2 linked regions of the Cricetulus griseus genome follow. The protein of the gene in region 1 purifies or fractionates together with the protein of each later gene. This does not show direct contact. Links are inferred from orthologs where the notes say so. Each region holds a gene or a part of one and is shown on either strand. Other genes may lie near its edges.

Region 1 (6,212 bases):
ACTGGGAAGAGAAAGTTTTCTCGGACAGCCACTGGGACCAGAATTTGCACTGGTGGTAGAGGCTTCCAGTAGGATAGGCAAGTACCAGTTATACCAGGAGAATTTGGGCCAAAGGGGAGGCAGGAAGGAGCAGAGAGGGGCATCCAAGAGACCTCAGTGGTCCTCTGGAGCTGTGCAGTGGGCTCATGGAGAATGCTCTGTATGGTCAGCTGGGAAACCAAGGCCCAAAGGGAACAGGCAGGGTGTGGCCTGCCTAGGCATGATAAGCAGGGCTGGCAGGTTCTAGTAACTGATAAGGTTCCTGGACTTTATTCAGAGGACAGCTGGCATGAGGGGCTTCTGGAACATTCAAGGGGGGGCTCCAAGGTAGACAAAGGTGCTGGTGTCATGTTGGGACAAGACGTGGAAAGCTGGTAATAGTGGGCAGACTGGGGTGTTCTGGCTTGGGGGACTCTGGAGAGGCAGGTTCTGTGAGGTACTAGTGGTGACATCATTGGTGGCCTCAAGGGACTATCACAAGTGCTGTCCACAAGCTACTGTGGCAGCAGGAGCTGGGGTGTGGAGTGTGCAGAGGTTGGTCACATGGTGACCCTTGAGATGTGTTTAGAACTCAGACTCTGGCATGGCCTCCCTCTCTTTGCTCACCCTTTCTTCTTGGCAGTTGCCTTCCTTACCAGCTTTTCCGGTTCTTATAACTGCTGTCCCGAGGGCTGGGAAAAACCTGGTTCCGGGACCAGGCTCTGACTGAATGGGCGTGATGCTGCACTTTGTCCCCTTGATGAGAATCCTCAGGCAGATCAGCTGCTTTGACTGGGCAAGGGTTGGGGCCATAATCCCAGCCCACGGGCTTGTGTACTCTGGGATAAGAACCTCGCTGCCCACTCACAGAGGCCCCACACCTGCTGCCTGTACCCAGGTTCTTTCTTGATGCCAGCCCATGGCTTGGGCATGGAAAACCTGTTTTCATCCCTTGTGGAGGGTGTAGAGAAACCACCTGGCTCCAAATCAGATGCTACTTTTGGGAAAACCCCTACCTTCCCAGAGGTCCTGCCTAGACAAGCCCTGGGGCTCAAATGGGAGGTGTCACCTCATTGTTGGTGTCATAGTCTGATCCATCTGACAACATACAGTTCCTGAGGAAAAAACCCATAGCTGGGTGGTTGTGGTACAGGCCTATAATCCCAGCATTCTGGATGCAGGTGGATCTCTGTAAGTTCGAGGCCAACCTGGTCCTCAGAGTGAGTTCCAGGACAGCCAGGGCTACACAGAGAAACCCTGTCTCAAAAAACCAACCAAACAACAAAAACGAAAAATCATAGAGGGCAGCTGCCTGGTTAATTGAGGATCTGAGAGAGGTACTTCCCTTAATCACCCCTGTCATCCAACAGAGGCTTGAAGTAGAAAATAAATAAATAAACAAAACAAAACAAAAACAAAAACAGGAGGCCAAGACTCTCCTGTTTCCACAGAGGCCTTGGGAGAGTCCCCCCACAGCCTCGGGTCCTTTGTGAACATAGAGGAGTTATTCTGGCTGGCTTGGCACCCTGAAGGCGAAGGGAAACCAGGCAGCATTTTAATGTAGCCCAAGTCAACCTTGAACCCCATATGTATCGGAGGATGAGCTTGAATTTCTGATCTTCCGGCCTCTACCCAGTGATTGCTGAGATTCCAGGTGGGTGCTACCTCACACAGTTTATGTGGGCAGTGTTGAGGCTGGAACAGGGACAGTATATGAGAGGCAAGGACTCTACCCATCAAGCCACCCAGCCTCAAACACTGGACAACTTTGTACACCCTGAAACACACACCCACACACCTCATTCTCCTCCGAGGTAGCATTTACCCTAGTCTCTGTTTTCTCATTTGTCAACAGGCCCCTTCCTCCACTATTGCACTGGGGTGCTGGGAAGTGCCTGGCAGTACAGCACTGTCATCCCAGCAACTCCAGAGACTAAGTCAGGAGGATGGCAAGTTCAAATTCAACAGTTAGACCAGCCTGGGCAACTTGGACTCTTTATCTTAATCTTTTTTTTTTTTTTCAATAAAATTGTGGTGGGTTTAGGCTGGAGAGATCAGTCAGTGGTTAAGAGCATTTGCTGCTCTTCCAGAGAACCTGGGGTTTAATTTCCAGGACCCACAGGGCAGCACAACTGGCTCTAACTCCAGTTCGAGAGGAGCAGGGGCCCTCTTCAGGCTTCTTGGGGTACCAGGCCCACAAGTGGCACAGATGCACGTGAAGGCGAAAGCCCATACACATTAAAAAAAGAAAAAGAAAACTGTGGCCAGGGAAGTAGCTCAGCTGGTGGTATGCTTGCCTGGCATGTAGGAAGCCCTGGGTTCCATCCCCAGCGCTGTATAAACCAGGCATGGTGTGGCTCACATAGCCTGTAATCCCAGCACTAAAGGAGGTGGAGGTAGGGGCAGCACAAGCGCAAGGTCACCCTTGCTTATATAATAAGCTAGAGGCCAGCCTGAGCTACAGAGGTCCCCGTCTCAAGGAAAACAAAAAAGAAAACCCCCGGCACCTCAGTTGGGAGTCATGGCTGAAAGCCAAGGCGGGAGCCGCCGCCCAGAGCACCCCGCCTCTATTCTCCAAGTCCCAGGAAGGAGGGTGCGAGGTCTTATATGGGCGTGTCTTTTCTGAGGCGCGGGTGTGGCCTGAGCAAGTTGGGGCGGGGCAACCAGAACAGAGGCGTCTGTGTGGAGCTTCGGGCCTGGGAGCGTGGCCTCCAGGGGGCGTGGCTACAGGGGGCGGACCGAATAGGCGGGGCCTCCAGGGGGCGGAGCCGAAGGCCTCGCAGGCGGCTTCAGTGTGGGGCGCCGGTCGCGCGCTCTTCTTCCAACTCGGGTGGTGGTCGGCGGGTCCGGGCCTCGTCCCCATCACGGCCCGAGAGGGGCCTGTGGCCAGCTCCACGAGCCACCGGCTCGGCCCGCCGCCCCTATGGCGGCCATCAAGGCCCTACAAGAGTGGTGCCGGCAGCAGTGCGAGGGCTACCGGGACGTGAGCATCACCAACATGACCACCTCTTTCCGCGATGGCCTGGCCTTCTGCGCTATCCTGCATCGACACCGGCCTGACCTTATGTGAGTGCTCTTTCACCCATCTGTCCGGCTCTGAGGTGCCGCTGCAAACGGGAAACTGAGGCCACGCCTGCCCTAGAATCTGGGTCAGAGTTTGCAGACACACCCCTCTCAGGTGGGCCACCCGGGGCAGGAGAGAGTACTGCAGGCATAGCCCATTCGGTGGCCCCCAAGGCTGCTGCAGTCAAGTGGCCTCTGTGCAGGCCACCAAGTGCAGCTGGGCCAGGGGCCAGGACGTGGGCTGTCCAGCCGGCTTAGTCAGTGGTGACTCAGGGCAGCGTCCGCCTTCCCCTGGCTCCCTGAGAAAGGGCAAAGGAGCAGCTCCTGGAGGGCCTTCTGAGACCCTGTGCTGTTAGAGGTTTGGAGCCTAAATCAGGATCACTTGAGGCTTCTAGTGGGAATACTGCCTTTCCCCCTGCTTGTCCAGGCGTCTTTGAGAAAGCAATCAATGAGGGAAGCCCAAGCCTTTTAGCACCTTAGGATTTTGGGGGTGGGGTCGGGGGTGGGGGTGACAATGGAGACTGTGCCACCATATCTGGAAGTTGCAGGAGTGAGCAGGGGATGGAGTCTAAAGCCCTCTACCAAAGAAGAGTCTTGGCATAGGAAGTTGGGAAGCAAGCTGGCTCCGTTTTGTTGAGGGACCTTGGTCCACAGCTGATCTGTCAGTAATTCACTCAGCTAACACCTTGGTGGACTGTGTGTTACCAGGACCTAACTTAGGCTAGTGACCTGGAATGGGACAAGATCACCTGTAGCCCATGCTTTTTTGAGAAAAGCTTTGTCCTGAGACATGGTAGCTAGAGTCAGAGTGGCCAGTTTGGGAATGTTTCTCAGGGAGGCCTTGAGGCTGAGTGAGGCTCTAGGCAGCATTTGTGGAGAACTGGTAAAATGAGGCTCAGAAAAGGAAAAAAAGCAAAATCAAAAACAACAAGAAACTCTTGTTCAGGTCACACAGCACAGCAGGCAGAGGCAGGCCTGATACCATCCAGCTCCCTTGTGCCAAGCTTTTCTCTGCTCAGGAAGTGGGAATCTTGAGCAAGAAGTAGTATTCTGCCCTATGGTTGTGAAATATGCGCCCCCTCCCCCAGCCCCAAGCTGCTTGGAGAGGCCCCATGGCACGGCCTCAGTCACTCTCAGGGAGGTGGATGTTGTGAGTTCAGTTGGGCCATCAGTTACATGGCAAGTGGAAAGCTTTGATGGATGTTGGATCAGGGATGTGGACTTGGAACACGGGAATGTGGGTATCCAGGTCTCTGTGGGTGGTGCAGGGGAAGGCTGGATGATGGTCCAGAGCAGGGAGCCTAGATGAGAACTATGACAGATTTTCAGAGGAGGAGACGATGATGTTGGTTTTGGCTGGCCTAGCAGCTTCAGTTGATAACTAGACAGGGACAGGGCCTTTGCAGATACAGGGTTTTCGTCTGCTCTGAGGCAGGGGATGTGTGTGCTCCTGACCCAACACCTAGTGCCCACAGAGGAGGAGAGGTGTGCATGCAGAGGTTTGTGCTTGTGTGTGTACTTGTGTGTACACACATATGTCAACACCAGCAAGTGTCAGATGTTTGCTGGTTTAACTGACAGTTACTGAGTGCCTGCTGTATACTGTATAAGATCACTTCAGCCTCCAATGTGCAGGGAGCAACTTCCTGGTCTCAGAGACAGAAGTTCAAGGTGATGACAGGGAACCAAGAGGCTGTGACAGGAAGGAGGCTGGAGGAAGAGGCGCCTGCTGAGTTCCACCCTGGGTGGGTTATCTCGCACATTGCTGACTTCCTTGCTGTCTGTCCCAGCAGGACTGGAAGCTCAAGATGATGGTGAGTCTCTTAGTTAATGCTATGTGAAAGCTGGCGGTGGGCTTGTCTCCATATAGTTAGAGTCCCACACATAAGGGCATGCTGCTGGAGCTCAGTAGATGTGGTAGATGCTTGGGAGGAGCCTCTGTGGATTTGGAGTTTGGAAGTGACATACTAGGGAGTTCAGGAATGGAGACATGAGCTAAGGGACACTCCGGAGCTCCCAGAAGCTGGGAGGGATAAGAAGGACCCTTCCCTGGAGTGAGTATGACCCTGCTACACATTGACACTGGATACCTGGCCTTTGGGAATCAGAGGACTCATATTCCTTGGTGTGGACATCTGTAATAGCAGTGGTGGGAAGGGAATGGGGATTTTGGCAGAAATTGCAGAAGCCGGTGCAACTCCAAAGCAGTGTTTCTCCACCTGTGGGTCTCGACCCCTTTGTGGGTCAAATGACCCTTTCACAGGTCATACATATCAGATATCCTGCATATCAGATATTTACATTACAATTCATAACAGTAGCAAATTACAGTTAAAGTAGCAACGAAAATAATTTTATGGTTGGGAGTCACCACAACATGAGAAACAATTAAAGGGTCGCAGCGTCAATCACTCTTTTTTTTTTTTTTTTTTTTTTTTTGAGACAGGGTTTCTCTGTGGCTTTGGAGGCTGTCTTGGAACTAGCTCTTGTAGACCAGGCTGGCCTCGAACTCACAGATATCTGCCTGCCTCTGCCTCCCGAGTGCTGGGATTAAAGGCGTGCGCCACAAACACCCAGCCGTTAACCACTCTTCTAAAATGTGGCTGAGTACAGGAGGAGGGTCTGCCATCTGAATCTAAGCCTTAAAATCTCCCAGTGTGGGCTGGCGAGATGGCTCAGTGGGTAAAGGGGCTTGCTGCCAAGCCTGATGACCTGTCTTGGTTCTGCAGGACTCATCCACATGATGGAAGGAGAGTGATGACTCCCCCAAATTGTCATTTTACCTGCACATATGCACACTGTTTTATGTGTCTCCTCCTCCAAATAAAGAAATGTAATTTTTTAAAAAAAGCTCCCCTCCTGTGTCCTGCTGTGCTCTGGCCCAGGTGGTGGGTGGGGTGGGGGTGAAGGATGTTTCACTGTAAAGTTGGGTGACAAATGGAAGGGGAGGAAAAGTATGATGGACTAAGGATACAGAGGGGCTGTCCTCTAAGGAGCTCTGAGGTCAGGTCTTGGCAGGGATGGGATGCAGGTCCCAGCACCCCAGCACTCTAGTTCACTTCTCCTTCCCCTGAAGACCCTCTGGCAGCAGGAAGGTGGGCATCCTGTCTCCTTGTCTCTAGCTTCGCCAC
Region 2 (6,200 bases), on another chromosome or scaffold:
TGCAATCAGGCTGTCTCTGATTCTGAGCTAGCATGATGTAGGGGAAGTTGGAAGGGGTTCATTTAATTAATGTTGCTCCTCTCAGGAGGCAACATAAGATAACTTGGTGTGTACTAGCCTGGAGCCTGCATACACAATCACTTAGGAAGGTGAGGAGAGACACATTGGGAGATAGGTTTGACCTAAGCTGGTCTTTAGCCAATGTTTCACCCACTGAGCCATCTCCTATATATATATATATATATATATATATATATATATATATATATTATTTTAATTGCATTTATTTACTTAGCATGTGTCTACCTGTGGAGGCAAGAGAACAACTTGTAGGAGCTTCTTCTCTTCTTCCACCATGTGTCTTCTTAGGGATCAAACTTGTGTCACATCAGGCTTGGCAGTAAGCATCTTTACCCACTGGGGCATTTTGTTGGCCCCTAGTGTTAAACTTAATGCTGCTATCCACAGATTTTATATTTTGGGGAGAAGAGGAAGGGTGGCACAGGACCTATATGTAGAGGTCAGAAGTCAACTTACACGAGTTGGTTCTTCTTTCCACTAAGTGTGTACCAGGAGTCAAACTAAGACCCTCAAGCTTGGCAACAAGTGCCTTTACTGGCTTGGCCACATAGGCAGCTCCTCATCTTGTTAATGTGGCACTTTTCTTTTGTCACTGCTCTCCTGTTACCCCAGGTTCCATATCAACAAACTTTTTAAAGCACATATGACAAACAGCTGGGCAGAGGCCTTAATCCCAGTGTATTTCCCGAGGATCTGATGGGACAGGTATTCTGGCTCTCAGGAGTCACAAAATACTGAGTGTTACACAGCTCAGATTGAAAGGGATCCTGACACAAGTGTTACAGTGCAGCTCACTCTGCTCTGTCCAGGATTGTCTCTGCTCTGCAACAAAAGGTCTTCACCCAAAGCTCGTCCAAGGGGCTTATTTTTGTTTTTGTTTTTGTTTTTGCTTTTTGTTTTTGGAGACAGGGTTTCTCTGTGGCTTTGGAGGCCGTCCTGGAACTTGCTTTGTAGACTGGCCTCGAAACACCACCACCACCCAGCCCAAGGGGTTTATTTAGAGGGAAGAATCCAGGAAGAATCCAGGGTGGCAGAGGACAGCGGGACAGCCCAAACAGCCCCAACAGCCCCAAGCTGAACAGATACAGGGTTTATATAGGAATTCTTGGGGGGGGGGTGGAGATTTCCTAAGGGAGGTGGGGATTGGTCAGATTTCAATCCCTGAACTCAGATTGGCTAGATCTCCTGCTCAGGGATTGCTTAGTTTTCTGCACAGGCTTGTGGTCAGATTTGGCTCTGGTTTCAGGGCCAAAGTGTTTCTTTCACTGGTCTTTTTAGCCTTTTGGCTCTTGTTTTAGGACCAGGGTGTATTTCTTTCACGGGCTCTGATTCTAGGGACAAAGTGTGTTTCTTTCACAAGTTCTTTTAGCTTTTGGCTCTAGTTTTAGAACCAAGGTATATTTCTTTCACTGACTCTGATTCCAGGGCCAAAGTGTGTTTCTTTGGCACTTATTGCAGGGCCAAAGTGTGTTTCTCTGGCTGGCCCTTTTTCCCTACACCCAGCACTCAGAAGGCAGAGGCAGGCGCATCTCTGTGAGTTCGAGGCCAGCCTGGTCTACAGAGCAAGTTTCAGGACAGCCTCCAAAGCTACACAGAGAAACACTTTCTCGAAAAAAACAAAAACAAAAACCCAGAAGGGAAGGAAGTGCCACTGTAAAGCCTGGGAAAGTCACCTCACCTATAGCGTCAGCATACTCAGCCGCTGGTGTGGGGTGAAGGAGCCTGCATTTCCGGCGGGCACAGAACAAACACTGCCATTACACTGATCTGCCACTGTCCTACCAGCGCCTGCCCCCGCTACGGCCTCTGGGATGGCACGCCTCAGGGCCTCGCGTGGCGGGCTCACTGGGGCGAGCCCGGAGGCCTCGGCCGAAAAACCTCCACAAGGGAGTGAGCGCAGTGACTCATGCACTTCCCGCGCTTCGCCGCAGTGCCTAAATGCGACTGCGCGGGCTGCGAAGGCGGGAAAGCTGAGGCGTCCTCCGCGCGCGTGCGCCCTCTGCTGGAGCCAACCGTCTTCCAGCACGCATGCGCATTTTCACCAAGCCCGTCCGTCCCTCGCCGCCCCTAGCGCGCGGAATTGTTGGGGTCCCTCCCGTCAGGGGCGGGGAATGAGAAGGTGGGGCCAGGGCATAGCCACGCCCACCGCCGTTCATTTGAAGCCCCCCCACTCCGACTCTCCATCTCTAGCCAATCACAAATCTCGCTACCCCAAGGGCCAGCCAATGAGCGGCGCGGTGCGGCTGCTTCCGGCTCTGCGCCGGATTCGTCTCTTTGCCCTGAGCTCCCTGCGACGGGCGGGGCTCCGGAGGGCGGGCGTCGGCCTCGGTGACGCGCGGCGGGCCGAGGTCCAATAGGGGGCGGGATCTGAGATGATGGACGGGTCTAGCGGCCAGTGGCGAGGCGCCGGCCGGACTTCCCGTCGGGGAGAGAGTGTAATATGGCGAAGACCTACGATTACCTGTTCAAGCTGCTGCTGATCGGGGACTCGGGGGTGGGGAAGACCTGTGTCCTGTTCCGCTTCTCCGAGGACGCCTTCAACTCCACGTTCATCTCCACCATAGGTAGCGGCGCCTCGGGGCGGCCGGGGACCGGGGCTGGGCGCGCCCCTGTGGGGCTGGGCTGAGGGATCGGCTCGGTATCCACCCGGGCCGAGGATCCGGGAGGGTCGTGGGCCCTGACGGAGGACCGCAGCGGCCTCCGTCTCCTCGAGGGGACGCCGCGAACGAGGTGCAGACGGGAACACTCAGGCTGCTGTCTGAGGGAGAGGCTGCCCTGGGCTGGGGTCCTGGAGCCTGTCAACTCTCTGTCCTCACAGCAGCCCTCGAGACGGTAATTTTGGGAGAGATCCCCGTCTTACAGAAGTGGAAACTGAGGCATGGAAGTGACACCTGACCTCGTGCATCATTCCCTATGTGCCAGGTTCGGCCTGTGCACTATCAAATACTGTAGTGCTCTCGGGTTGGGTGTTGTGTCGCTGAAGGAGGAATTTGAAACTGAGGGAGGGTGTGGCACGCACTGAAGGTCAGTCTACAGGTGTCAGGGTTGAGATTTGAACCCATGTGTATCTGACTCCCAAATTCGAGGCCTAGCTGTCCCAGAGAGGTGCCGCCTTATACCCTCACAGGGCCAGCACCATCAATTAACCTTTAAGTCAGGACTCCAACCCAAAGTCCTGCTGCCCTCTGCCTGAGGAGTGGTGCTAGTACCTGTCACCCTGGTGGAGATGTGAGAAAAAAGTTCCTGTGAGAAACTAAGATCGGCCACGGCCACGTGCAGCCTTGACAGGACACCACCTGTCACTTCCTGAACAGCTTTCCCCCAGGGCTGCCTCACGGTGCAGTTGAACAGAATTGGCTTGTGATTGACAAAGTCCTGATGTCAAAAATGGCACAGACCTTGGACCTGGAAGTAACTCCTGTCAAACAGGGTGGTCTGCATGCTGTATGGCCCTGGAACAAGAGAATGGTGCCTAGGCCTGGTTTATCCCAGGCCAAGCTGTTGTTCAGTTGGTGCAGTCCTGGGGTCCATCCCCAGCATCCTGAAACCAGGTGTGCTGGTAAATAGCTGTAATGACAGCACTAGGTAGGTGGAGGCAGGTGGATCAGGAGTTCGGGTCATCCTTGGTTACATAGACTGTTCAAGGCCAGGTTGAGCTACATGAGTCCTGGCTCAGAAAGAAAAGGAAAACATAGGGAATGATTTCTGTGTAATGTCAACTAAGCTGTATTGTCTCCCTGACCGGACCATTGTGTGCTAATGTCATCGGAACTCTCCTTCCTGGTGGGCACTCTAAAACAGTCAGGTGTCAAGTACAGAAAATTATACCTGGACTCCAGGTGCTGTTCATCCTTGAACAGGCTCTGACCTTTCTTATGTGATTTGGTTTAGAGCAGATGTGGCACTGTCTGTCTTGGCTGGTGCCCGGGGTGGTTGAGGGTTAGCTCTATACAACGAGTGAAGAGGTCCATCTGGGGGAAGCGGAGGGTTTAGACACCCCTGGACACAGGTGCATCTGAAGCTTCTCCCCTCCCCCCCCCAAAACATCCAGCTTTGGAGTCACCCTTAGGTGAGGACCAAGCAGGAAATGACAATAGCTGCCCACAGGCTCTGGCTTGCTCTCAACACAGACCTCAGTTTCCCGGCCTCAGACACTTCCTAGTCACCAACGTATTAGTTCAGGGTGGTTTTCTGTTTGTTTGCTTGCTTGCTTTATTGTGTGTGTGTGTGTGTGTGTGTGTGTGTGTGCTCTTGCATACTCATGCATATATATGAGGGCTGGAGGCTAGAGGTTGACACCAGAGTGAACTGGTTGTCAACAACCAGATCAGTCACTCTCCTTGCTGCTGCTTTTTCTTTTTTCTTTTTTTTTAATTATTTTATTCGGAAGGTAGGTGCATGCTGGTGCACATGTGGGGGTCAGAGGACAATCTGTGGGAGTCTGTTCTTTCCTTCCACCATGTGGATCATTGGGACTGATCTCAGGCTGCCAGGCTTATGGGCAAGTACCTTTACCCACCAAGCCATCTTTGCTGAGTCTCTCACTGAACCTGGAGCTCACTGAACCTGGAGCTAGCCCTAGGACCCTTCTTTCTCTGTGTCACCAGTGCTGGGATTGTAAGTTGATACCACCATGCCCAGGTATTTTTATATGGGTTCGAGGGATCAAACATGTCCCTAGCCCTTGTTTGTTTGTTTGTTTGTTTGTTTGTTTGTTTGTTTGTTTGAAACAGGCTGGCCTAGAATTCACTGTGTAAACCATGCTGTCCTGGAACTCTTGGAAATCTGCCTGCCCCTGTTTCCCAAATGCTGGAATTACAGATATGAGCCATCCTGCTCCACTGGTTTTGTTACATTTATTTTGTGTGTGTGCATATATGCCAAAGTCAGGAGACAACTTGTGGGAGTTAGTTTTTTTCCTTTCACCAAGTGGGCCCCAGGAATTGAACTCACATCATCAGGCTTAGTGGCAAGCACCTTTACCTGATGAGGTTTCTTGTAGGCTCTTGTTTTACATCTCACGTGTGTTTCTCCAGTTTTTCTTTTTGAAGTACTGGATATGGAGCCCAGGTTAACCACATATCTGACCACTGATCATATCCATCTGGATGGTTTGAAACTCTTGATCAGAAAACCAACTTAGTCCTTCGGGGTCCCTGGGAGACAGCCCTCCTTTACAGTGAGGTAAAGGTAGCACTTGAACCAGGATCTCTCCCTCCCCAAATCAGCATCACATTCCCACAGACCTCTGTCTTCTGGGAAAGTTAATCTCCTTGACCTTTAAGTTACGGCCTCATAATTCTGGAGCCTCATAAAGTTTACAGTTCCTAATTCAATTCATATGTTAATAGAAGCTAGGGGAGCTCCAGACCAAAGTGAGTTATACAGTGACTCTGGACTTTTGTGTGTCACTGGGCATGTGTGACACACTGGGAAATGTCTCTGGGAGAGTCTGCCTTGGCTGCTTAGCCCTAAAATTGTGCAGGAAGGTGCATCTGTACTGGAAGCCAGCTGTTCTCGCTGTGTTCATTGATGGACCAGGACTGAGTGGCTTTTTGTTTTCTGGAAGCTGTGGCCCTGTGGTAGGCTGTTCTCCAGAGCTACATGAGTTATTTGTGGTGTGAACCTGGCCCTGCAGCACCCTGAAATCAGTTCTCAAACCAGTCTCAGAACCAGGCCACTCTCTCGGGGCCATTCATTGCTTCAGCAGACACTGTAGCTGTGTTATCTGACCATCTTTCTGTTATTTAAGATAGGGCCTCACGTAGCCCAGGCTGGCCTAAACTCCCTATGTAGCTGAGGATAACATTAAACTCCTAGCCTACCTGCCTCCATCTTCAGAGTTCTGGGATTGCTGGGATACATCAGCACACCCAGTTTTTTGGGTGCTGGAAGTAGAGCCCAGGATACTAAGTAAGCAGTCTACCAAGTGAGCTGCAGTCACAGCCTGTTATTTTTAAAATTTTGGCCACATTTATTTATTTGTGGGTGTTCCTGTCATAGTGCATATGTGGAGGTCAGAGGACAGCCTGGGAGTTAGTTTTCTCCATCCATCATGTTCGGTCCTGGGTCATCTCAGGCTATGTTGCAAGTGTCTTTACCCACTGAGTCATCTCACT

What was found. Proteins that work in one complex are often made in the same cells at the same time.
Region 2: the proteins of Micall2 (region 1) and Rab8a purify together in Homo sapiens (co-immunoprecipitation; 3 studies listed by BioGRID and IntAct, with this or other methods). This does not show direct contact. The link is inferred for Cricetulus griseus from reciprocal best matches to the Homo sapiens genes MICALL2 and RAB8A.

Annotation. Positions count from the first base shown.
Region 1 is NC_048597.1:76,377,801-76,384,012, reverse strand, and holds the start of Micall2 (MICAL-like protein 2), read left to right. Parts: upstream 1-2,783; 5' UTR 2,784-2,941; coding exon 2,942-3,084; intron 3,085-3,177; exon of another isoform or gene 3,178-3,196; intron 3,197-4,716; exon of another isoform or gene 4,717-4,889; coding exon of another isoform or gene 4,890-4,895; intron 4,896-6,212. UniProt on the Homo sapiens protein: Effector of small Rab GTPases which is involved in junctional complexes assembly through the regulation of cell adhesion molecules transport to the plasma membrane and actin cytoskeleton reorganization.
Region 2 is NW_023276806.1:246,922,968-246,929,167, forward strand, and holds the start of Rab8a (ras-related protein Rab-8A), read left to right. Parts: upstream 1-2,485; 5' UTR 2,486-2,521; coding exon 2,522-2,645; intron 2,646-6,200. UniProt on the Homo sapiens protein: The small GTPases Rab are key regulators of intracellular membrane trafficking, from the formation of transport vesicles to their fusion with membranes.